7 linked regions of the Macaca mulatta genome follow. The protein of the gene in region 1 interacts with the protein of each later gene in a pairwise test. Links are inferred from orthologs where the notes say so. Each region holds a gene or a part of one and is shown on either strand. Other genes may lie near its edges. The genes, in order: PPFIA1, CCNH, TXLNA, DTNB, PTPRS, PTPRF and PTPRD.

Region 1 (3,500 bases):
GTCAAGGGAACAGAGCCAAATGAAAGAACGCCTGGCTTCCCTCTCCAGTCACGTGTCAGAGCTGGAAGAGGATCTGGACACTGCTAGAAAAGATCTCATCAAATCTGAAGAAATGAACACAAAATTGCAACGAGATGTCCGTGAAGTGAGCAATAACAAAAATTACAGGCTTGTCATGAAGTTGAATGTTTGGGAGGTTTTATTTAATGATTTTTTTTCTCCTTTTGTCCCTTGCTCTCCCAATTACTTTCAACCTTTGTATTATTATATAAGTTATATTGAAAAAGAAAGAGTGCTGTGAAACTGCGATAAGATACCTCCCCATTTTTGTTGTGAAATCTCCTGTCCCTGAGCGCTTCAAAATAGAGGAGAACTAGTACCACTGACTGATGTGGCCATGGAGTGGACGCCACACCAGCCCCTCCTACCTGTGCTGCTTTGATATTCTTTAATGTCCTTGTTTGTAGATTCTTCATCTGTGCAATTTCTAGGCTGTCTTAATTTGTTCTTATGTTCAGCAAGCAGACGTTGATCCTGGCTGTGCTAGTTCACGTAGGGCGATGTGACTATAGTCTGTTAACTGTGGGAAGGGGCGTTGCTGGTGGTCTTCTCGTTTTCTGACCTCCTCCTTCAAGGAACTCGTGGCATTGAATATTGATGGTCAGACAAATAATCAAGAGTGGAATTTGCTTCTACGTGGGTCATCAGGATCGTATAGTAAAAATATGTCGCAGTATACTCATTGCTGACAAGTATTTCTGCCATTATCACTATGAGAAACTATTTGATCATGGAACAGTGAGGCTGAGTTCTTTCTCAGGTGCCCTTCCTGTCACTTCCTAACCTGCGCTTTGTCCCTTGTCAGGCGCCTCAACCGTGGAACGTCTGCTTTTCAGTGTGATAGTTTGGCATGAGTAATTTCATGTAGGAATTCGCCACAGGAAGAGCATGTGTGTGTGCTGTGTCACCTGCTAGGTTCTATTCTTTGGCTATAGCGGGAGATTATGTGGCAGAGATTAACATGCTGAGAATTTTGAAATTCTTTTAAGACCTATCACTTTTATTTTTTATTTTTTATTTTAACTTTTAAGTTTGGGGTACATGCTTAGGTCTGTTACGTAGGTAAACTTGTGTCCTGGGGGTTTGTTGTACAGATTATTTCATCATCCAGGTACCAAGCCTAGTACCCATTCGTTATTTTTCCTGATCCTCTTCTTCCTCCTACCCTCCAGTGTGTGTTGTTCCCCTCTGTGCGTCCCTGTGTTCTCATCATTTAGCTCCCACTTATAAGTGAGAACATGAGGTATGTTGTTTTTCTGTTCCTGTGTTTGCTAAAGATAGTGGCCGCCAGCTCCATCCATGTCTCTGCAAAGGACATGATCTCATTCTGTTTTATGGCTTCATAGTATTCCATGTTGTATATGTACCACATTTTCCTGATCCAGTCCACTACTGATGGGCATTTAGGTTGATTCCATGTCTTTGCTATTGTGAATAGTGCTACAGTGAACATACACATACATGTGTCTATATAATAGAACGATTTATATTCCTTTGGGTATATACCCAGTAATGAGATTTCTGGGTTGGTATTTCCATCTTTAGGTCTTTGAGGAATCTCCACACTGCCTTCCACAATGGTTGAACTAATTTACACTCCCACCAACAGTAGGAAAACATTCCTTTCTGTCCACAACCTCACCAGCATCTGTTACTGACTTTTCCATAATAGCCTTTCTGACTGGTGTGAGATCCTGTGTCATTGTGGTTTTGATTTGCATTTCTCTAATCAGTGATGTTGAGCTTTTTTCCCCTATGACTTTTAGTAGTCACTTTTAATAGTTATCACTTCGCTAACCTTGGTCATTTTATAAATAGGGAACAACTTGAAAATAGTGAATTCTGGGGGTGGAGGACAGGTATTTCACAAGCAAAAAGTTCTGGTCCTAGCCTTAAGTGTTTGATACTGTTTAGTAATCATCTTGCAGACTTCAGGTAGTTGCGTCCAATTAAATTGAACTTGTACTTCTGTTTCCATTTGTCAATATGCCTGAATCTTGTAATTGTATGAGATTTCATCTAACCCTTATCCTAGAAAGTGAGACTTGTATCTCACTACTGTATCCATTGAGAGAGGCCACACCCTGTCCTGTGTAAGACCATTTGTAGCGTGAGGCAGACATAGACTGCGTCGTCTTTGAGGTCACTTTCACCTCCTTGAAAAATATTTAGATATTTGAGTGTATATATGTTTATAATATTATGTAGAAATGGGAAAACTTGGTCAACTGAGTGGCTAGACATAGTATTAAGAGAGACAAGTCTTTGTTAATCGTATAGGTGAATATGATATTTGAGGTAGTTACATTTTCATTCACATTTGAGAAAATTGACGTCGTCTTCAATTTAATTTTGAGGACACTATTTTTTTTTTTTTTTGAGACAGAATCTCTCTCTGTTACCCAGGCTGGAGTGCAGTGGTGCCATCATAGCTCACTGCAGCCTTGAACTGCCGGACTCGAGCAATCCTCCTGCCTCAGCCTCCCAAGTACCTGGGACTACAGGGGCATGCCACCATGCGTGGCTAATTTTTGTTTCTTTAAAATTTTTTTGGCCAGGGATGCTGGCTCACGTCTGTAATCCTAACACTTTGGGAGGCCAAAGGAAGGCCAAGGAGGATCTCTTGAGCCCAGAAATTCAAGACCAGCCTGAGCGACATAGTAAGACCTCTATCTCTACAAAAAATTAAAAATTAGTGGATATAGTGGTATGCGCTTGTAGTCCCAGCTACTGGGAAGATTGAGGTGGAAGGATCCCTTGAGCCTGGGAAGTCAAGGCTGTGGTGAGCCCTGATTGCACCACAGCATTCCAGCCTAGGTGATAGAGGGAGACTGTGTCTCAAAAAATAAAATACAATATTTTTGTAGAGACAAGGTCTTGAACTCCTGGCCTCAAGCCATCCTCCCATCTTAGCGTCCCAATGTACTGTGATTATAGGAGTGAGCTGCTGTATCTGGCCTGAAGATGCTAATTTTTAATTTGATTGGAAATTTGGGATTTAGTTCAGTTTTTTTCTCTCTTAAGTATCTTAATGTGTAATCTGTTAATTACGTGCTTTTTTGTCCCCTCTGAAATACTAATTTAGGCCATGGCCCAAAAGGAAGACATGGAAGAGAGAATCACTACTCTTGAAAAACGCTACCTCGCTGCACAGCGTGAAGCCACATCTGTGCATGACCTCAATGATAAACTTGAAAATGAAATTGCAAATAAAGATTCTATGCATCGACAGGTAATGGATTTTATCGATCTTTGTCTGGCTTCAGTTAATTATTAATGAAATTAAAGACCCTTTTTCTCTCACTTTCATGTTGGAAATCAAGTCCAAATGTCAAGTTTTTATGACCTTAGAATATTATGTTCAAGATATGTGGGAGTTCCTTCAGTTTACAGGTTTTGATAACGTAGGATTTGATTTAACCATTTTGTCCTCAATTTTT
Region 2 (3,500 bases), on another chromosome or scaffold:
TTGTATTTCATCTTTCTCTCACTACTAGCTCTTTGCATCAGTATTTAAATGTGCATCGGTCTCTTCCATAAAACAAAAAACAAAAAAAAGTATCACCCAGTCAGAAACTTGGGGGTTCTTCCTCTGTCCTCATCTCTATATACAATCAATCCTCATGTTCTATTGATTCTACCTAACTACAGGCTGAGCATAAATCCAAAAAATTCAAAATCCGAAATACTCCGAAATCTGAAACTTTCTGAGCACTGACATGACACTCAGGAAATTCTCACTGGAGCATTTCAGATTTTGGATTTGGGATGCTCAACCAGTAATCACAATGCAAATATTGCAAAATCGGGAAAAAAAAAAAAAAAAAAAGTGAAATCTCAAATACTTTTGGCCCAAAATTTTTTAGATAAGGGATACTTATCCTATATCTCTGAAGCCCAGGAAGCTCTTTCTGTATCCACAACCTTCATACGAGTGAAGACCACCACCATCCTTAGCTTGGACTCCTTTAACAGTACCCCGTTATTCACTTAATCTATTCTAATCCATTCTCCACGTTATGCCTGACATATACAGATGCACAGTAAATACCTGATCCATAAGGTTGCCAACATGATCTTTTAAAATTGCAAATCTAATCATGCCACTCTCTAAATTTAAACCTTTCACTGGTTTCTCTTTGCTCTATTCAAAATCCGTAACATTGTCTCTACAGTCTAGACTCTGCCTTCCACTCTGGCAGCAGCTGTCTGTGATCTCTTCCCCCTGCATTGCTAGGCTCTGTTCAGGTTGTTTAGCACAGAATGGTTTCTTGAATTTGACCTTTTTACCAGGGAAGTCTCTGATTGGAATGTTCTTCTCTCTCCTATTCCTACTCTGAATTGTACTTTAAATGATACGTTCTCAGAATGTTTTCCTTAGCTCTTAATCTGTTATCCATTGTGCTCAATAATACAGAGGGGAAAATATATTTTAGAGGGAGATATATATTCTAAAACCTTTAGATTGCAAGGTTCACAAAAGTTGAGACTGTTCCTGTCCTGTTTCTGGTTACATCCTCAAGCACAAAGTTTGGCACACAGAAGATACCCAAATTGAGCCACTGATCTAATATGAATGAACCAGTTCCTGATTTCTGTTTGATTCAACTTTGACTATCCAACTTCTCTTTTAGAGCCAAACAAAACAACTTAAAAGTTACTTCTGTCAATGTTTGTTTACTTATATTATTGATGCCTACATAGAGACTCAAGTTCACAAACCTCTAAAAATATAAGTCACTTAGCAATCTTCTAGTTTAAGAATTTTTTATGGTTTAAATCAGGCCCAGATCCATGACAATATAATTCAAAGTTAGAAGAGGTATCTTAAGCCTCCATAATAAGCACCGTTCTAAACTCTCAATGGTCTTCATTACATCCCTGGACGTAATGAAGATCACTTAAATGAGAAACTCCATAAGTCCCACCCAACCATCTGAGTTAACAATTTCTCCAGATGACTGATGATGCCCACTGAAGTTTAAACACAACTGCCCTAGATGACCAGGCCAGACCCACAGGTCGTATCCATGCTCTAACAATGAGGATGACTATGAGTTTTAAAATTTTGGATTCTTTTTGTTAAAGAATAGGAAAGGAGAATGTAGTATTAGTTTATTTTATATCAAATTTACCTTTAAGTCGATGAGGAAGCCCTCAAATGGTCTGTAAGGATTGTGGACAATAAGGTGGAAATTAAGTTGCTGTATAAGAAGTAGTTCATATTCCAGTATCTGTTCAAGTGCCTTCTCCTGTCCAAGAGGACTCTCCCGAAGGTTTCCAACAAACTGAGGACTAGATACATTGAATTCATCTACTTTGCAGGCCAAAAATGCACAAGTGAGCCTAGAGGAAAAAATGAAGCGGCAGGGGGCGGGGTTGGGGTGGGGCAGAAGAACATGCATATACTTTGAGAAGTATCTAAATATTTTATTTCTAAAAGTATATTCTATAATTGCCTAATATTCAAAAGTGACTGCTAGACATTGCAAGAATTTTTTTTTTTAAAGATAGTTCCTGTTCACACTTCATTAAGAGACATAAGACAAACTATAAATAGGTCAAACCAATATTGCCATGGCATTCAAACATCACTGACTCAATGACAGTGTTATGTAGTACAACCTAAATATCTGGAAAAACAAATTAACTGAGGAATAAGAGCACTTTGTATAACGTAGATGGAATAGTTAAAAATAAAGCACATATGTACCATATAAGTATGGGAAGAAAAGTAGGTTAAAGGAACATTGTGGAAGGCCATCGGTGGAAGTCTCTAAGGGCATCTGAATAAGAGACTATTATTTAAGGGACAAATGTGTGAAATTCACCTGGCCAATTCATGCTGTTCAGTATGAGAAAACAGTAAGAAAGCTACTGCAAAAATCAAGGTTGGCAGTGAGATCAAGGGCCTAATCTTGACTGGTGGAAATGGGAATCAAAAAGAGAAAACAGGTACAATGTCATTGAGAGCAAGCTCTTTGATGAGTCTCATACTAATTTCATCTTTAATGATAGACGCAGTGCTCAGCAGAGAGCAGCAACAACAGACCTTTGTTCAACTGAAATGAGTAGGAAGCTATAGGATCCGTAAACTGACTAGATGTGGGAGGGGCCACTACAAATGATTCTCAGTCTGAACAACTGGAAGAACAAAGGTGTCAAATAGAGATGTTAGAGAAGTAGCTAATTTGAGAAAAACAAAATTTGAATCTGGACAAGTTGAAGTTCAGATGCCATCAGAATTACCGAAGTACAGGTAAATAGAGATCTTAAGTTCTGAATTAAAAAAAAAAAAAAAAAAAACAGAATTCAAGTCTAAATTACCCTCAACTCTCTCCTCCCCAAAAAACTCAAAAGAGTATAAAGGTCTTCTTAAATGAAAACAATATATTAGACAGACATACTCACATTATTATCCTGGGGTGATATTCCATTACTGAGTTATTAAGATAAAAACGTTTGAAATACATACAAGCTGTACCCTAAGGGTTAAAAAAAAAATATATCATCAGGATCTATTCACAAATGTTAAATGTTAAATTGTGTGAAACAGAACTTATTTATGGAAAGGTTTCTTTGTAGAGATTACCCAGAAAAATACTAATACTCATTAATTCTTCTTTAATCAAAATAAATTGTGATGAATTACTACAGAAATGCCATAGCCAAAAGATCCTTTCCCATCCTTTGCTTGTCTATCCCTAGCCTACCCTGGCTAATCCTTCCTATGGTCACTGGATTTAAAAATACGTGAGTGTGTATGTTTTAGAAGTCAGAGTATCAAAAATGTCCTGAATTAGATAAATTCAGGAAGAAAAATACAAATGTTCACAGATTAACCAATCTTATAAAAATAATGAGCAAGGCAATAAGCCTTCTCTCTAAAGCCACTACATATTTGTGACATTGTTTTGTATCCATTCCCATGATTTGTGATCACTGCTGCCAACTGAATGGCAGAAGCAG
Region 3 (3,500 bases), on another chromosome or scaffold:
TACAAGAATGTCATTAGGCAGGTATGACATTCCCCATTTTACAGATGAGTAAAGTTCCCTACAGGAAAATATTAATAAATGTGTGTGGAATGAATTAATTTTAACATAAATACTTAAGAGGCTGGGCGCAGTAGCTCACGCCTGTATCCCAGCACTTTGGGAGGCCGAGACGGGCAGATCACGAGGTCAAGAGATTGAGACCATCCTGGCCAACATGGTCAACCCTGTCTCTACTGAAATATACAAAATTTAGCCAGGCGTGGTGGCGTGCGCCTGTAATTCCAGCTACTCGGGAGGCTGCAGCAGGAGAACCGCTTGAACCTGGGAGGTGGAGGTTGCAGTGAGTCAAGACCATGCCACTGCACTCTAGCCTGGTGACAGAGCAAGACTCCATCTCTAAATAAATAAATAAATAGGCTGGGTGCGGTGGCTCACGCCTGTAATCCCAGCACTTTGGGAGGCCGAGGCAGGCAGATCACGAGGTCAGGAGATTGAGACCATCCTGGCTAACACGGTGAAAGCCTGTCTCTACTAAAAAAAAAAAAAAAAAAAAAAATAGCTGGGCATGGTGGCGGGTGCTTGCAGTCCCAGTTACTTCGGAGGCTGAGGCAGGAGAATGGCGTGAACCCGGGAGGTGGAGCTTGTAGTGAGCCGAGATCGTGCCACTGCACTCCAGCCTGGGCAACAGAGTGAGACTCCATCTCAAAATAAATACATACATACATACATACATACTTAGGCTGTGACCATCAATAGATAAATCTGTTAGTTCAAATTCTGACAGGGGACCTGATGATGGAAGAATCTGGCTGCCCCACCCTCAACCCACTGAACAATGTTACAACAGAGTGGGAAGAGTATGCTTTGCATTTATTGCGATGGAACATGAAGTACAGAGTACTACTTATGAAGAATTCTTGTCAAAAACTTGAAGCTGAATTGGATCAAGCTTTAGAGCTAACTTCTACTTCACTTACAGGCACTAGGAGGTAAAGAAGTAAAATGCTACCACAGATGACAAAGCTAGAAGGGGGCATCCTACAGGACAGCCAGTCTGGTTTCTGTAAAAAGTCAATGTCATGGGGAATATGAGGAGGCAGTGACAAGAAGACTGCTCTGAAGTAAAAGGAAAAAGTATCAAGTGACTAGCATTAGTTTTATTTACTGTGATAATGGCTCTATGCATCTGTATTTGAGGAAGATGCATCAAGATCACAAGGTGTCTTGGACTCAGGCCAGGAACAAGGGCTCTACCACCTTGGAATCATTCTTTGAGAAATTTCTTTCAAGGAATATGCAGTTTCTCAAACTCTTGCTGCACAGCCCTGAAGAGGCTCGCTGAGAGTGATTCCCCATTTAACAGATATTTCAGAGAAAGCTGAACAGAAATTAAGCCACCTACCTGCCTCTGCACCCCCAACCCTATACCAGGTGGCATGCTGATTTTCCCAAGGCAGGGAAGGTGCCCGCGGAGGGGGGAACTGACCAGTTCAGCATACTTCTTGCACAGAGCGGCCAGCTTCTCCTCTGGGGTACTCAGAGTATTCAATGTCTGCATCAGCAACGTGATCTCCTTCCCTGCAAAGCACAGGAGCAAAGACATGTACTCCCTTCTCCAGGGGTCCCCTCCAGGCCTGGGCTCACACTCATCATGAGTGCTGAAGATAGCCCTCCCCATCACACTTTATATTTTGCTCGTTAATTAGCTCCTTCCTTAATATAGGGACCAACTCAATCCTGCCCTCACTGTAGCCCCAGTATCGTCCATAGTACCATCACAGAGAATATGTTCAACAAATGCTTATCAAATGAACGACTGTACCCTACTGAAATCTCCTTAGTGGACACCACTGGCAGGGTAAAAAAACTGCCTGCTCTACCAACAGACGAAAGATTTCCCACTTATGAATTCAGGGCTACTGTTTCATACAGTTTCAATGCAAGGAAGGCTCACCCTCCTGATAGAGGTAGGATCCAAAAAGGAACAGATGTCTTAGCCTCCTTGAGAAATACTAAACTCTTGTCAACAGAGTAGCCAAACAGTGAACTTTAAAATGAAGATACTTTCGGCCAGGTGCGGTGGCTCACGCCTGTAATCCCAGCATTTTGGGAGGCCGAGGTGGATCATGAGGTCAAGAGATCGAGACCATGCTAACATGATGAAACCCCGTCTCTACTAAAAATACACACAAAAAAATTAGCAAGGCGTGGTAGGGGGTGCCTGTAGTCCCAGTTACTCAGGAAACTGAGGTAGGAGAATCACTTGAACCTGGCAGGCAGAGGTTGCAGGGAGGCGGAGATCGTGCCACCGCACTCCAGCTTGGTGACAGAGCGAGACCCCCCTCTAAAAAAATAAATGAACTAAAAAAAAAAAAAAATGAAGATACTTTCCATATATGTGACCCTAAGATTTTTTCTTTTTTTTTTTTTGAGACGGAGTCTCACCCTGTCACCCAGGCTGGAGTGCAATGGCATGATCTCAGCTCACTGCAACCTCTGCCTCCTGAGTTCAAGTGATTCTCCTGCCTCAGCCTCCTGAGTAGCTGGGATTACAGGCACATGCCACCATGCCCAGCTAGTTTTTTTTATCTTTAGTAGAAATGGGGTTTCACCATGTTGGCCAGGCTGGTCTCGAACTCCTGACCTCATGATCTGCCCGCCTTGGCCTCCCAAAGTGCTGGGGTTACAGGTGTGAGCCACTGTGCCTAGCCGTCCCTAAGATTTTTTTTTTTTTTTGAGAGAGCCTCGCTCTGTCACCCAGGCTGGTATGCAGTGGTGCGATCTTGTGTCACTACAAACTCCACCTCCCGGGTTCACGCCATTCTCCTGCCTCAGCCTCCCGAGTAGCTGGGACTACAGGTGCCCGCCACCACGCTCGGCTACTTTTTTGTATTTTTAGTAGAGACGAGGTTTCACCGTGTAAGCCAGGATGGTCTCGAACTCCTGACCTCATGATCCACCCGCCTCAGCCTCCCAAAGTGCTGGGATTACAGGCATGAGCCACCATGCCCGGCCATAAGATTTTTTAAAGTTCTTCTTTAAAGTAGGATGATACAAAAGGGGAGAGGGAAATAGGAATAAAACATGGACATAATGACACCCGAGTTAGACTCTAGATTCTTTTTTTTTTTTTTGAGACGGAGTTTCACTCTTGTTGCCCAGGCTGGAGTGTAGTGGCACGATCTTGGCTCACTGTAACCTCTGCCTCCGGAGTTCAAGCCATTCTCCTGCCTCAGCCTCCCAAGTAGCTGGGATTACAGGCGTGTGCCACCATGCCCAGCTAATTTTTGTATTTTTAGTAGAGACAGGGTTTCATCATGTTGGCCAGGCTGTTCTCGATCTCCTGACCCTCAGGTGATCCATCCGCCTCGGCCTCCCCAAGTGCTGCAATTACAGGCGTGAGCCACGGCGCCCGGCCTAGACTCTCAAACATACATACCCTGCTGTAAAATAACTGTCACTGCCCGTTCCCCATTGCCTGTGCCTGAGTCAGGGAGCCT
Region 4 (3,500 bases), on another chromosome or scaffold:
AGCAGAGCTGGGGGCTCTGTCCAGTCCCATGACAACCCGAAACATGTGAGCTTTCTCCTACGAAGGGCTGAAAAATACCCAAGGCTTGCCTTCCCTAAGAGTGTTTGAATAAATCTATGTGTTTGAATGGCCCGTGGAAAAACTGCTTTATCTTTTTATTTAATAGCCCTGTTAAGCTACTTCAAGGTATTTAAAAGCACTACATTAGGTGGAAAGAAACAAAAGAGAACCATCAGTGTGAGTGACCTACAGCACTTAGGAAGGGAAACCATTAGTTTAACAGAAAACACGGAAACCCCACTGCTGTGAAATCGTTAGTGACTCTCTGGCCCCTAAGTAACTGGCAGAGTCATGGGGATTCCTGGAGATAGGATGATATGTGAATGGCCTTTAATTTTCTCTCTCTTTCCTGGGTTTTATGTAAGGTAAAGGTCTTTGGGAAGTCACTGATGTGGCGAGGTGATGGAGAGACTGAGAAAGAAGTCACAGATGAGCTGAGCACGAGGAGTGGAAGAGGCGACAGACTCAGGTCATGAACTTCAGGTGAAATCAGAGCCTGGTCATGGACAAAAGGAGGGAATAGGCTTCAAAACCAAATCAAACAGGAGAGAGCAGAAAGGCAGCAGGGGAAGGTCCAGAGCTTTCCTGGCTGATTCGGCTCCAGACTTCCAGGGAAGCTTCAGAATGAGGCGGTCGGTCAGGCCTAGGGAGAGAGCGGCTGTGGACAAAGCACAGATAGAAGACGGGGTAAGTAGGAAGGGGGCCTGCCTGCACTGAAAGGTCTGAATTTCTCCAAGTTCAGCTTGCTCCACAAGATGCACTCCTGAGATAGCCTGAATGTGAAACCGCCCCTATGCAATCCTGTGTGACAGAGGCTCTCTGGGCGGAGACATCCAATGTGTTCCTAGAAGGCAAAGTTGGGTGGTGAAATGGGGTGGTGCGAGCTGGGTGGTGAGGTTCTGCCAGAGCTGGCGAGGAAGTGAGAAGGGCGTGGGCGAGGCAGGGGAGGCCGGGAAGCCAGGTGGGAGCTCTGGGTTTCACCTGAATGGAGCTCCTTCACCAGGGATGACATGGTGTTGGTGATGGAGTCAGCTGCCACCAGCAGGTCATTGCGGAGGTTTCTCCTCGTACCTGAGGAGAGGCAGAGCAGATGGGGATGCCAGTGGGGGTGAGCATGGAGAAGAGACGGCTGAGCAAACGCCTCTATTCTGCCAGGCCGGAGGACACAGGTGTGGAATACCTAAGGGGAGATGGGGCTGCAGCAGCTCCACCCACTCCCAGCCACACTGGGGGCAGGAGGCACCAGCCCACTGGTCCCTCTCCCTCTGCCCTCTCTACCTAGGGAGCAGCATCCTGTCAATTCCACGCTTTGCCATCACCACACAATCCAGAGCTGGGTTCCAGAATAAGCATTCCACCGAGGTCTTCCTCAGCCTTGTGGGGGCGGGGCTCTACTCTCCACAACCACCACCACCACCTCCCCTTCTCACCTCCAGCCCCAGCAGGACTTCCCTCTGAATCCCCACCCAACTACTTAATACTGCTGGTCACCAGCTCCTCCGATGACTGTGGCAATGGCGTGCACACTATGCTGTCAGCACGGTCCCAGTTACAGTGCCTGTTACAGTCCCTTCTAGGCCAGGGAATTATTCCATCCAATTCCTCTGGAGGAGACGAAGCTCAAAGGACAAAGCACTTCCCATAATCCAGAAAAAAGGGCAGAGAACCCCAGGAGGCCCATTCTTGGCACACATCGGAAGCCTGCAGCTCTCCTGCTGGAGACCAGCCAGTCTCATGAGAAGGGGCCAGCACCTGACTTATTTACACTGTCTGTCAAAATCTGATCATTCAAGCCAAGAGCACAAAAGAGAAATGGAAAAACCTCAGCAGGAATCTTGTCCATGTTTGCAGATCCCTTCAGCTCCCTGCTGAACTCTGCTCCAGAAACTCACCTTGTGCAAAGGCCTCCTGCACGTCTCCCCCAACTCCGCTCAGTGAGTCCTGCGGACAGTGGGTGGGGGTGGAGCCGGCAGACGTGGAGCGCACTGGCATGGGCATCGGCCGGCCGCCTCCATGGGTGGGCGATGTATGTGGTGACCCTGTGGCCTGAGCCTGGAGATTCAAAGAGAGAAAATATGTTATCTCAAGTACCTGACCTCTTTGAGGAAGAAAGAAAGTACTTTTTCTCCGTCAACCGGGCCTCAGTTCAGTGGTACAAGATCATACTTGAAAGGAAGGAGTCAGGCTGCTTCCAAGACTGGAGAGAGGAAGAAAAGGAAAAAAGGAAGGGGTCGTGCAGGGCAGGAAGAAAGAACATCATAAGAAGAGACCAAGAATGGGAGGGAAAGAAGAGGCTGGCACAGAGTGGTGGAGGACTCTCAGGAAGACAGGGTGAGCATATAGCTGGGCCAGGGCTCTAGAAGGGCTTGGCTAGCGGGGCAGGAAGTAACATGCAAACAGCTTTCATTTTGTTTGCAAACACATTCATGCACACGTTCTCATTTGGACCACCCCACCCACCCCCGGCAACCTGTGAGTGGAAAGGACATACGTGTGTGTGTGTGTGTGTGTATGTATATATTTATATATGTATATGCTTCTTTTTTGGAGACAGAGTCTTGCTTTGTTGCCCAGGTGGAGTGCAGTGGTGCAATCTCAGCTCACTGTAACCTCCGCCTCCCAGGTTCAAGAGATTCTCCTGCTTCAGCCTCCCGAGTAGCTGGGACTACAAGCGTGCACCACCATGCTGGGCTAATTTTTTGTATTTTTAGTAGACACTGAGTTTCAACATGTTGCCCAGGTTGGTCTTTAACTCCTGAGTTCAGGCAATCTGCTTGCCTTGGCCTCCCAAAGTGCTAGGATTACAGGTGTGAGCCACCACACCTAGCCAGGGTGTATATTTTTATATCCATTTTATAGAAGGAAAAGCAAGCATTGTGTCAGGCAACACAGCTTGCCAGTGGGAGGCACGGGAAGAACCCCTTGACTCCAAGAGTGGCAGTGTGCACTCTGCAGGGTGCGCCCCCACTCCCCCAGGGCATGCTCTGAGCATGTGGGGAGCTTGGCTGCAGGCTGCAAGCGGGGCCATCGGGCCAGTCACGCCACACGCACTGCACACACACAGCGAGGCTGTCTGGGGCCATCCCGCAGGGACGAGGTGAAAAGGACACGTAGTAAACAGAAACTGAGCTTTCCTTGGGAGGCCCTGGTACAGTTGTGGAGAAAGTTTGGAGCAATGGGATAAAATAAATAAAAGGAGAAAACGAATCAAGGGCTGCTCACTGAGATGTGGGCTCTGGAGCTCTTCAGCACAACATGAACTGAGTGTGACAGGTGGACTAGGGTTTTCTGTGGAAGCAAAACTGGAAAAAATATAAGCCAAAGTGTGAGAGTGAGTTCAAATGAAGATAGTTATCCTTCTGGGGAGCTAGCTCAGAAACCCCACATACAAACAGAATTGGCCCTGAACAGGTGGACAGGCTGGACACACCATACCCTAC
Region 5 (3,500 bases), on another chromosome or scaffold:
GACACACACATACACACCACACACACAGCAGTAACACACAGCCACCTAAGGGCCCAGTGGACCAACCCCCTGCCCTCTTCCAGGAGCCAGCACAGGACAGGTGGGCAAGGGCCGGCGGTGGGTGGGCGCGTGGACAGAGACAGGAGGCAGGATGGAGAAACCAAAGAGGAAACGAACAGGGGGGCGAAAGGAAGCCAAAAACAGACGCAGAAACTAACTTTCAAAGTGAAACCCCGGCTCCCTGAGGGGGCTCCTGAGGCCTGAATCTGCAAACAGCAAACAATAAATAAATGAAAACATGCAGGGGGTTGGGGGGTTCCACCTCTGCCTCCCCCACCCCTCACTGGCTGGCGGATGCAAAGGGCAGAGCAATGCGGACAACGTGGGGGACGCATAGCCACCTGGGCCCCCACCTGTGGACTCACGATAGCTGCTAACTGTGTACCCCTCTGGCTGGACGCCAGTCAGTCCTGGTCTTGACCCGTCACTCTGGAAGGACTCCAAAGTGCTAGGTTCTTCTGTCTACAAATCCCCTCCCCCAGACCAGCCTGGCCTTGGGTCCCCTCTGTTGAGGTCAGCAGAGGGCATTCTGAGGAAGGAGGATGCAGGATGGTGAAGGAGAAGCTGGGGGAGCAGGGAAAGGACATATGGGCCCATGCCATGAGCTTCAAGGAGGACAGCAGCCATCAGTTAAATGCACATGTTGAAAATCCTTATTTGGATGGAAACAGAACAGACATAAGCTAGTCCAGAGACAGAAATGAAACGGGAACACATTGGCAGTGAATTATGAAACTCTTCATGATCCCTTTAGGAGACTTGCAGCCATCAGTTACATGCACATTTAAAATCCTCATTTGGCTGAAAAACCAAAGCAACATGAATCAGTACAGAGGTAAGAAAGGGAAGAGAATACACGAGGGGTGATACATGAGGCCCTGCATGATCCCTTTATGAGGACGGCAGTCATCAGTTAAATACGAATGGTCAAACTCCTCATTTGGATGAAAACAGAAGTGACACAAGCCAGTCCAGAGGCAAAAAGAAGAAAGTATATCAAGAATGGCATGTGAGGCTGTGCATGAGGCTTTAAGGAGGACTAAAGACATCAGTTAAATACAAATGTTTAAAATCTCCGTTTGGTTGGAAAATAGAGTTGATATGAACCAGTTCAGAGATAGGAAGTGGAGACCGGTACAGTTGGAAGGACAGATGTAACCAGGCTGTGAACCCGTAAGGAGAATAGCAGCCATCAGTAAAATGAAAAATTTCTTACTTGGTTAGAAGCAGCTGGCATGAGCCCATGAAGAAGGGGTTGATGGTGGAGTTTGTAAATCATACACGGAAATGATCAAGGATAAAACCTTGATTCAGTTCTCCTTGACTGGCAGGTGACTTTATAGGGAACTGTAAAGAGGCATGAGCCCCAGCAGCCATGGTGGGAAGAGGTACAAGGCGTGGGGCAGGTATAATTTCTGTACCTTGCTAGGGATATATCCCAAGGGAGTGTGGAAAATGGCTGAAGGCAAACCTTAACTCTCACCACTGAGGAACATTAAAACTAGAGAGATAAACAGAAGAACAGCTCTTTCTGCCCAAAGAAATGAGGGGTAGTTTTGTGTTTTCTCCGTTTTTTATTTTTAAACATCATCTTTAGGCTCCTGAAGAGGAGAGCAGCCATCAGTTAAATGTTAACTTAAAAAGTCTCACTTGGTTGTAAGCAGAACCAACCTATGAGTTCCAAGCCCGGATCCACGTAGGGTGGGAGGTATTTGGGAATCAAGAATGTGGCTGCACCAAGCGTAGTTCAGAGGGGGCCAATGAGGGTCCCCCAAGGTGGCAGCTACTGCTTCTCACCAGCTATCTCCCCTGTTGGCGGTATCCCTGGTACCAGGGATAAGTACATACCTGGAGTCTGGAAGTTAATGCGTCTCATTTCTACAGGGTCCTTGGGGTGGTGAGGGGCGAGGTCAGCATTGTTCAGGAGGCATTTGGTGCGAGGTTCTGAGTCCTTGCGTTTACTTTAGGAGAAGCAAGCAGAACAGTCCAGTTAGTACTGGGACATGTTCATGTGTGAATACAATTCAGGCCCCAGGAATGTATGGTCGGAAAAGGACTGTATACCCATATGACTGGGGTTTCCAGGACCAAGTACAGATACATGTACAAGCTGTGGGGGCAGCCAGACATCCCCTCTCCCGTGGGCACAGTATCAACCCATTCCCTGTCCTCTTCCTCTTGCCTGAAGCCTCCAGGGGGCAGGGCTGGTTCTTACCTGTCAGGTTTGCTGTTCCCGAAAGCAGACACAGGTGAGAAGGGGGGAAAAAAAGAAAGGTGAGGGTGTGTTGGCCACAAAGGACTTGTTCTGTGACTCTCAGTGGCTTCCTTAACCTCCCTGAGCTTTGGTCTCCTCTGGAAAATGGCGTTCCTCTTTCTTGTTTGTCCCCCTGCCTATTGATACCACAAGGAGGCTTATCTCAGCCCTCCCTTTCTAAGCTGGGACATGCCCCATGGGGCCACTACAACTGCTATCCTCATTGAACTTGGACGCAGGCAGCCTCTACCCCAAATCATCTTGCGGAGGTGAAGATAGGGGTTAACAGGAGAAGCCAAGCCACTGGCCTGCTTTGAGCCCTAGCTCTGCCATTCCCATGCTGTGTGACCTTGATCAAGTGGCTTAACCTCTCTGAATTTCGATTTCCCCATGTGTACAACAGAGACCCTTAGTGATGATTCTCTGAGACAAGTCCTCCCTCCTTTTCCAGGAAGCCCTCTCTGCTGTCAAGTCAGGGAGGACATGCGGCTTACTTCTTGTAGAGCAGGATAGCAATGACAATGCAGATTATGAAGACCACGGCCAGCACAGGCCCAATCACCCAGATAAGCCCCTCCTCGCCATCCACGATGGGCTGGGGGTCCGGGTTATCCAGCTGGAAGGGGTCTGAGAAGGGACTGGCTGCAAAGGTCTGCAGGGAAAGGGGGGGGGGTCTCCATCAGTGTCCACCGTCCTTGCAGTGGCCAGATGGGTCTTTCTCAAACACAAACCCATGTTTCTCCCCTGCTTTAGATCCTCCTATATTCCTAGAACCTTGACCCTCGTGGCCCATATGACCTGGTCCCTGCCAGTCTTTGCTCTCCCCGTTCCCTTCTCTGCTCCAGCCACTCTGAAATCCTTTCTGTACCTCCTAGATCTTTGCACATGCAAATCCTGGGATGCTTTCTCTTTTTGAACTCCTACTCACCCCGCAACGCCCCAGACCTTGGAAGGTCTCTTCCTCTTAAGAAACCTTCGTTTCAGGATCCCTCCACTCCCAAGTCTTCCCCACTGCCCAGCCCTGGCCACAGAGAGCTGCCTGTGACTGACCACAGAGGATCTGCCTCTGGTTTTGAGGTCAAGGCCCTGGGAAATGGGGTCTGCCTCATTCAGAGGTGTGTCTGGCAGACACCATTCAGGACTTACAGGCTCGCTCTTCTGAAGCACAGCAAGCACAAAGAGGACA
Region 6 (3,222 bases), on another chromosome or scaffold:
CGATGAAGTCAATGAAGCCCTCGCCTGTCTTGGGCACGCCCTGCTCTGGCCAGTCTGTGAACTGGAACTGCCGGATTGTCCTTGACTGCCCATCCTGGGAAAGGTGGGTGGGGGACATGATTAGGATTTGTGCCTTAGGCTGCCACCCCTCTGGACCAGACCGGGGTAGTACCATGACACAGGCATGCTTCTGTGTCACTGCACCCAAGGCCACTGGGGGAGATGTGCTCACACCCTAATACCCACCCCCTGCCTCAGATTCCTGAAGCTTGAGCTACGGCAGCCACCCGCCCCACATGTGGATAGGCAGCGTTACGGACGTTCAGCGCACTCACTCACCCGGGCATCCGTGACCTTGAACTCACGCAGGATATACTGGGGCATGTTGTACTCAGCCATCGGGTCAACAACAAAGTACTGGTAGCGAGCAGAGCGCTCTGCTGGCCAGTACTGGTGGCATTTTTCCTGTGGACAGAGGGCCGGGCCCCCATGATCAGGTGAGAAGGAATGGAGGAGGGGTGCCAGGCTTCACAGGATTCTGGGACAGATGCCTCAGGTGGATAATAACGGGGGCCTGAGGCTATGCTGACGCAGCAGCTGGGGTGTGAAAGGAGACAGTAACATAGGCGGCAGCTCCCCCAAGGGTGGCTGGTGTTCTCCCAGGTATGACAGGGGCCCTGGGGAAAAGGGTGGGCTCACCCTTCCCATCTCCCGAAGCTTGGTCAGCATGACGATGATGGTGGAATTGTGCTCCCATAGCATGCGCCAGAAGTCCTCGGTGCTCTCTGCCAGAGGCCCCTGTGTAGCTATGTAGGCCTTCTGCTGTCTGGGGTGGACATAAGACTGGACATGCTGGAGGTGCTGCTGCCCCCAGAGTCTCCCCTTAGGCTGCCTAGCCCCTTGGGGCCCTGCTCTGATCATCCCTCCTCCAGGAAGTCCTCACTGCTCTACCCAGCCCTCTCTGGTCTTCTAGGCTGCCCACCCCCACCAGCCAGTCACAGGCCTAGGCCCCTGTAGGGCATGGTGGGGCAGTGACAAGCACGCTGACCTATAACCATCCAGGAAGCTGGCATTGATGTAGTCAGAGCCCTCCACGCCACGGATGGGCTGCAGACACACACGCGTCAATTCATAGGGCATGATGTTCACCAGCCGGTTCTTGAACTTGTTGCAGGGCAGGTTGGCGCTGATGAAGCGGGACGTGTGGGCCTTGGAGCTGGCCAGCAACTATTAAGAGAGAGGGGTTGGTCAGGCCAGGCTTCCTGTGGGAGTGCGGGTCATCCGCATGTCCCAGTCTAGGCCCTGGAGCCAAGCAGGCCCCCACCGAGCCCCACCTTGAACTCAAGCTCCATGGCGGTCACACTCTCCCCTGGAGGCACTTGGCCCAGCTTCTGGATGTGGGCATAGAGGTTTCGGGCAGGCACCTCTGTGTGGCCGCACGTGGCAGCCTCCAGCAGTGCCTCGTGGATGAACACATACTGGTCCTCCGTCTGCACCATGTAGTTCCTCTGTGATCGCATGCAGGTCACGTGGCCATAGATGTCCACCGTCTTCTCGTGCTTCATCCGCTCCAGCATGGCATCAATCACGATGAAGCAGCCGGTGCGGCCCACACCCGCACTGCAGGACACAGGCTCAGTTTGAGGCACAGGTGCCCCCACCTCCCACCCCACCCCTCTGGGTGGCACTGTACCCTCTCACCTGCAGTGCACCACCATGGGCCCTGCGTCTAGGGGGTTGCAGGCCTTGACCCGTCGCAGGAAGGCCAGGATGGGAGTTGGGTACTCAGGAACTCCATGGTCTGGCCAGGCCATGAACTGGAACTGACGCAGCTCACGCTTCTCACTGGAGCCACTCTGGGGGACAAAGTGGGGACATATTGGCAACTAGGAGCCTGCCTGCCAGACTCAGGGCAGAATGACCTGTTGCTGAGGCCAGACCCGCCACTCTCTGATGGGACTCAGAAGTCACAGAGAGTAGCCTGAAGGAGCTCCTAGCACTGTTCCTGTAACATGGATCATCACACCACACTCACACACCTGAGCCTCTAACCCTCCAACACCCAGGTTCCGGTTTTCCCCCAACCCGGCACACCACATCTACGCCAGGCTACTGTCCTTATGGTGTCTGGGTAAGAGAGAAGCACTGGGGAAGGGCTATACCTTGTGGAGTGCGAAGGTGCGCACAGTATATGTGGCCAGCTCCACTGTGTCCAACAGGGTCACCTGAATAAGGCCATAGGTTTCGGTGCCACGGGCGGGCCAGTACTGATCACATTTTACCTGCAGGGGGATGAGCAGGGCAGGCTGAAGGAAGCCCACAGGCTCAGATGGGCAGAAGCAGGGTGGAGGCTGGTCTGCTCCCTGGCTGTAGCCTTTCTGGCTACAAAGGCCCCCCAGCCCTGAGCTCTCAGACCCATTGCCCCCTGTCCTCCACAAGTCACATCAGGTCCTCAAGCTATGTCACCACACTGCCCTAGCTAGTGGAATAAGGGCCATAATTGAAAATTATTTATTCAAGGCCAGATCGCACCAGGCACATTTTCTGCCAAATTTATCCATAACATTTATGTGCCATTTTCAAGCTCTGTAAATTTTACGTTCCAGTCAATGCTTTGCAGTCCAAAAACAGATAACAGCGGCTCTTTCCATTAATTAACTTAGGAGATGTGTTAATGCCCCAGGAACACTCCAGCATCTGGGGAACATGTGAACACCCCGGGAGCATGCCAGCAACTGGGGAACACATTAATATTCTCAGAAAATGACAGCATTTGGTGAAACATATTAGCATCCTAAGGAACCCACGAGCATCTGGGGAACACGCTTTATCCCAGAAACACCCCAGTATCTGCGGAGCATAATACCCCCAGAAACATAATAGCATCTGGGGATCCCTTGAGCGACTTCCTCCACAGAAGAACGCGGCACTGAAGAAGGTGCCCTGTATCACCTTGTGGCCGGGCATTTCCCGCCCGCCTCCTGGCAGGGCCCTGCAGCCTCACCCGGGACTTCTCCTCCAGCCGTGTCATCATGACCACAGTGGCTGTGCGCTGTTCCCACACCATTCTCCAGAAATCGCCCATGGTCTCGGGCAGGGGGCCCTGTGTGGCAATGTAGGCATTCTGCTTGCGGTAGCCATCGATGTAGTTGGCATTGATGTAGTCACTCCCGGGGACACCTGCGGATAAGAAAGAAGGTGGGAAGGCATTACTGCAGGGTC
Region 7 (3,500 bases), on another chromosome or scaffold:
GAAATGTTTAGTGTTTTGATTGCCATGGAAAACTGTATTTTAAATAGTAACGTGAGTTGTCCTTGAGACAAGAATGAATTATAAGGATACATTCATATGTTCTCATGAAGTAATAAAAATGATTAAATTTTGAGCTTATGAATGGCTATGCCTTTCCACTCAACTAGAATGAAGTACTTCCGCTTCCCGAGAGTTCTTAAAGCCAGTTCCTGTAGTTATTTTTGTCTAGTGGAAGTGTTCTTATTCTTGGTCTACATATCTGTGAATAACCACGAAGGCATGGGTGGGGGTGGGATTAAATTAAAGACTGAGAGGGCTTTAAGTTACAATAGGATGGGTTCCCTTAAGAAAATACCTAGCTTGATTTTGAAATTTTTGTTAGAGGTAATTTTGTTTCCCTGGGGATGTTTTTCTCTCCTTTCTTTTTATGGAGTCTGGGGTGGGGAAATATGAAGAAAGCCGTTTCTTCTCTAAATTCTTTGAAAGTCCCTTGATCCTTTTTCCACAATAGTGACCTCCCTTGCTGCATGAGGCATGTGTACCTTCTTCCATGGAAAATTTCAAAATGATGCTAGCTATTGTTTCTAATACCATGGTAGTCTGTGAGATATTGCTAACTTTTCCAGCTGAGGTAGAAAGGATGAACTAGAGCGAATAAAGATGTTCAAGTAGCAGTTGAAAGCCTTGATATGGCCTTTTTACTCTCTCTGTGTTTCCCTTGTTTTTCTCCTTTCCTCATTTCATTGTGTTCTGCATCAAACCCCCTACATCCCTCAGAGCTGCGAGAAGGTTGGTGTGTTTTTTACTTTTTACCCACCTTACAAAACTATTAATTAAACCAATAACAAAGAATACAAATGAAATGAATGTAGCTGCATTGTGTTCTTCTTTTGGTTAATGGTATGTTTTAGCAGAGAATGCCCTGGCCATGGCTTCTGGTGCTTGCTGGTGATATCTAACTGTGGTGCATGATGGGAGAGAATGTACCTGGGTGCATGGTAACTGGTAACACTTAACTCTCTAAAGTCCAGTTAACTTGGTCAGTGTTCCTGCTTTCCTTCCTGCTCCACTCTCCCCGTGTCCCACCCCGCCTTTAATTTCTGTCTTATAAGGATGCCTGCTGCCCATAGAATGACTTTTTCTAGTTTCTCCCCTAATCCCAAGCATGAAGACTAAACTCTCCTCCATTTTTCTTGATATGTTCTTTGATACCTCAGAGTCTACACTGGCTCCTGCTTGCTTTGTGTAACTTCTGTGAATTGACTGCAGGAGGCATGCTTAGCTTTCTCTTCTTCTCCCATGACTGTCATTCACCCATGAGGCCATTGCAGTGAGCCATCTCAAATCAGCGGAGGTTTATCTTGACTTAAGTGCAGCCAAAAAGTTTTCAGACAGAATTACTTATCTTCTTCTTGGGGTTATGAGGTTATTTATCAGTTTATTTATAATTTTTAAAATCACTTTATTAAATGTATTTAAGGTGTGCTCCTAAAGATTACCCTCTAGAGCTCAAATTCTTATGGTATGACGTTTTGCCAGTAAAAGCCCCAGATGAAACCAATTTCTCTCTCACCTTCTCCTTGTATCACATCCAAAACACATTTACTTAAACACACACAAACCTGCAAATTATCTGAAGCAGGAACACTGAACTTTAATTGCTTGGTAATTTTTCTGTGTTATGTTGCTTTAATATGATCTCTTCTCTTAATGTCATGTCCTGCTGTATGTTTTCCCAATGTCTCTCAATTTGAATGTGGGCATAAAAAGCCTTTTAAAAGATTTTGTTGTCATTTATGTTGTTTTACCTTAGATATGAATTGAATGGAATCCTGTATGTGAAACACCCATCTCTTTTTCTGAATTTGAAATCTTTACCTTTAACAACTTGAGCCTAATCTATCTTTCAACCCTATCATCCCCTACATCTCTGTATTTCAATCATTATACTTTACCTCCCCCTTTCGTGTTTATTTCTATTGCCCCGTTACTACTTCTGCTGTCATTGCTGTCTTGGATTCCAGCCATTCTTTCAATATCCTTAGCACGGGCCTTGAGATTCCATCTTGTGCATGCCTTGCATGACCCAATCCAGTATCTCTACTGGTGTTAGCCTGTTTCTTCTTCTGTGACTGCAAATCAATATGTATATACATTTCTGTGTTTGTTCCAGTGTTAGTGTGAGGTCTTGAGGCTGCATCCACTATGAATCTGAAAACATAAAGTGCACTTTCAGTGTACTGTAGGTGATGTTTTCCAGGGCTGGGATGTGACAGTGTGGTCCCACACCTACATTCACATCAACTGGAAGTGCACAGCACTGAAGTTGGTTTTGATAGTCAACTTAAACATGCTGGTGACCTTCCAGCTCCCTTTTCTGCATATACATGCCTGCATAGAATCATTGTTATATGCCTGCATGTATATGTTTTTGTGTTTATCTTATGCATGATGTTTGTGTATTGTTAGTTTGTAGATAGTTTTTTGTGGGGCCCTTGTAGGTCTGAATCAACTTTTGTATGAGTGTGTCTAAGATATCAATGACTAAACTAAATAATTCTGTGTATACACACACCATACTTGTATGGTCTGTATTATCCACAGTTTTTCTTTATGTTTTGTTTTTGGACAATCCACAATATGTTTCAATTGTTGAATCGTGTCTGTACGGTGCATGTCATGTGTTTAATAATCCACTTTTTCTTGCCTTGTATATGTTATCATTTCCCTTGTGTTTTGTTCCAGTTCGCCGTGTCCCACCAAGATTCTCTATCCCACCCACTAATCATGAAATCATGCCAGGTGGAAGCGTTAATATCACCTGTGTGGCCGTGGGGTCACCAATGCCTTATGTAAAGTGGATGTTGGGGGCAGAAGATCTGACACCTGAAGATGATATGCCAATAGGAAGAAATGTGCTAGAACTGAATGATGTAAGACAGTCAGCAAATTACACCTGTGTTGCTATGTCGACACTGGGTGTCATTGAAGCAATAGCACAGATCACTGTCAAAGGTATGCTCAATGGATCATGCTTTGAGGATCTGGGTACGCTTAAGCCAAGTGATTAATGCCTCTAGGAAGCCCATCCTTGAAAATCGAAAATAATTCATTATTCAGAGTTTTAAATGTGTGTATAACCTAATCATATCTGTGGTATTATATAAGATGCATAAGCTTAGATAGGCGGATTTTTTCTTGGAAGTATCTGGCAGCCTATGTGGAGATAATCATCAAAATATTAAAAGACAGTTCATGGAGGCCCAGGCACTAACCAGACAGAACTAGGAATTTTAGACATGGTCAACCATTATGGTGGGACTGATGTGTACAGTCTACATACTAGAACAGAACCTTGATAAGAACCCCAAGAAAAGTCAATATGAGCATTAATAAATGCTTAAAATTTCTAAATACAAAGGAAAAAGAAGAAAAAAGTTGAAATCAACATAGTCTAATAATAGATGATTTAACTTTTTGGCAGGCCCTACTGTTAGAAA

What was found.
Region 2: the proteins of PPFIA1 (region 1) and CCNH interact in binary tests that used the Homo sapiens proteins (3 or more experiments, as listed by UniProt). The link is inferred for Macaca mulatta from reciprocal best matches to the Homo sapiens genes PPFIA1 and CCNH.
Region 3: the proteins of PPFIA1 (region 1) and TXLNA interact in binary tests that used the Homo sapiens proteins (3 or more experiments, as listed by UniProt). The link is inferred for Macaca mulatta from reciprocal best matches to the Homo sapiens genes PPFIA1 and TXLNA.
Region 4: the proteins of PPFIA1 (region 1) and DTNB interact in binary tests that used the Homo sapiens proteins (3 or more experiments, as listed by UniProt). The link is inferred for Macaca mulatta from reciprocal best matches to the Homo sapiens genes PPFIA1 and DTNB.
Region 5: the proteins of PPFIA1 (region 1) and PTPRS interact in a two-hybrid assay, tested with the Homo sapiens proteins (2 studies listed by BioGRID). The link is inferred for Macaca mulatta from reciprocal best matches to the Homo sapiens genes PPFIA1 and PTPRS.
Region 6: the proteins of PPFIA1 (region 1) and PTPRF interact in a two-hybrid assay, tested with the Homo sapiens proteins (2 studies listed by BioGRID). The link is inferred for Macaca mulatta from reciprocal best matches to the Homo sapiens genes PPFIA1 and PTPRF.
Region 7: the proteins of PPFIA1 (region 1) and PTPRD interact in a two-hybrid assay, tested with the Homo sapiens proteins (2 studies listed by BioGRID). The link is inferred for Macaca mulatta from reciprocal best matches to the Homo sapiens genes PPFIA1 and PTPRD.

What each region holds. Positions count from the first base shown.
Region 1 is NC_133419.1:4,338,351-4,341,850, reverse strand, and holds part of PPFIA1 (liprin-alpha-1), read left to right. Parts: coding exon 1-145; intron 146-3,145; coding exon 3,146-3,292; intron 3,293-3,500. UniProt on the Homo sapiens protein: May regulate the disassembly of focal adhesions. May localize receptor-like tyrosine phosphatases type 2A at specific sites on the plasma membrane, possibly regulating their interaction with the extracellular environment and their association with substrates.
Region 2 is NC_133411.1:93,783,012-93,786,511, forward strand, and holds part of CCNH (cyclin-H), read right to left. Parts: intron 3,017-3,500; coding exon 2,943-3,016; intron 1,878-2,942; coding exon 1,667-1,877; intron 1-1,666. UniProt on the Homo sapiens protein: Regulates CDK7, the catalytic subunit of the CDK-activating kinase (CAK) enzymatic complex. CAK activates the cyclin-associated kinases CDK1, CDK2, CDK4 and CDK6 by threonine phosphorylation.
Region 3 is NC_133406.1:208,699,024-208,702,523, forward strand, and holds part of TXLNA (alpha-taxilin), read right to left. Parts: intron 1,579-3,500; coding exon 1,403-1,578; intron 1-1,402. UniProt on the Homo sapiens protein: May be involved in intracellular vesicle traffic and potentially in calcium-dependent exocytosis in neuroendocrine cells.
Region 4 is NC_133418.1:99,619,193-99,622,692, reverse strand, and holds part of DTNB (dystrobrevin beta), read right to left. Parts: intron 2,113-3,500; coding exon 1,953-2,112; intron 1,132-1,952; coding exon 1,042-1,131; intron 905-1,041; coding exon of another isoform or gene 852-904; exon of another isoform or gene 719-851; coding exon of another isoform or gene 561-718; exon of another isoform or gene 122-560; intron 1-121.
Region 5 is NC_133424.1:6,072,868-6,076,367, forward strand, and holds part of PTPRS (receptor-type tyrosine-protein phosphatase S), read right to left. Parts: coding exon 3,461-3,500; intron 2,967-3,460; coding exon 2,809-2,966; intron 2,288-2,808; coding exon 2,276-2,287; intron 2,022-2,275; coding exon 1,909-2,021; intron 267-1,908; coding exon 219-266; intron 1-218. UniProt on the Homo sapiens protein: Cell surface receptor that binds to glycosaminoglycans, including chondroitin sulfate proteoglycans and heparan sulfate proteoglycan.
Region 6 is NC_133406.1:197,047,432-197,050,653, forward strand, and holds part of PTPRF (receptor-type tyrosine-protein phosphatase F), read right to left. Parts: intron 3,181-3,222; coding exon 3,005-3,180; intron 2,283-3,004; coding exon 2,163-2,282; intron 1,857-2,162; coding exon 1,702-1,856; intron 1,621-1,701; coding exon 1,335-1,620; intron 1,228-1,334; coding exon 1,049-1,227; intron 827-1,048; coding exon 700-826; intron 466-699; coding exon 340-465; intron 95-339; coding exon 1-94. UniProt on the Homo sapiens protein: Possible cell adhesion receptor. It possesses an intrinsic protein tyrosine phosphatase activity (PTPase) and dephosphorylates EPHA2 regulating its activity.
Region 7 is NC_133420.1:90,798,380-90,801,879, forward strand, and holds part of PTPRD (receptor-type tyrosine-protein phosphatase delta), read left to right. Parts: intron 1-2,745; coding exon 2,746-3,015; intron 3,016-3,500.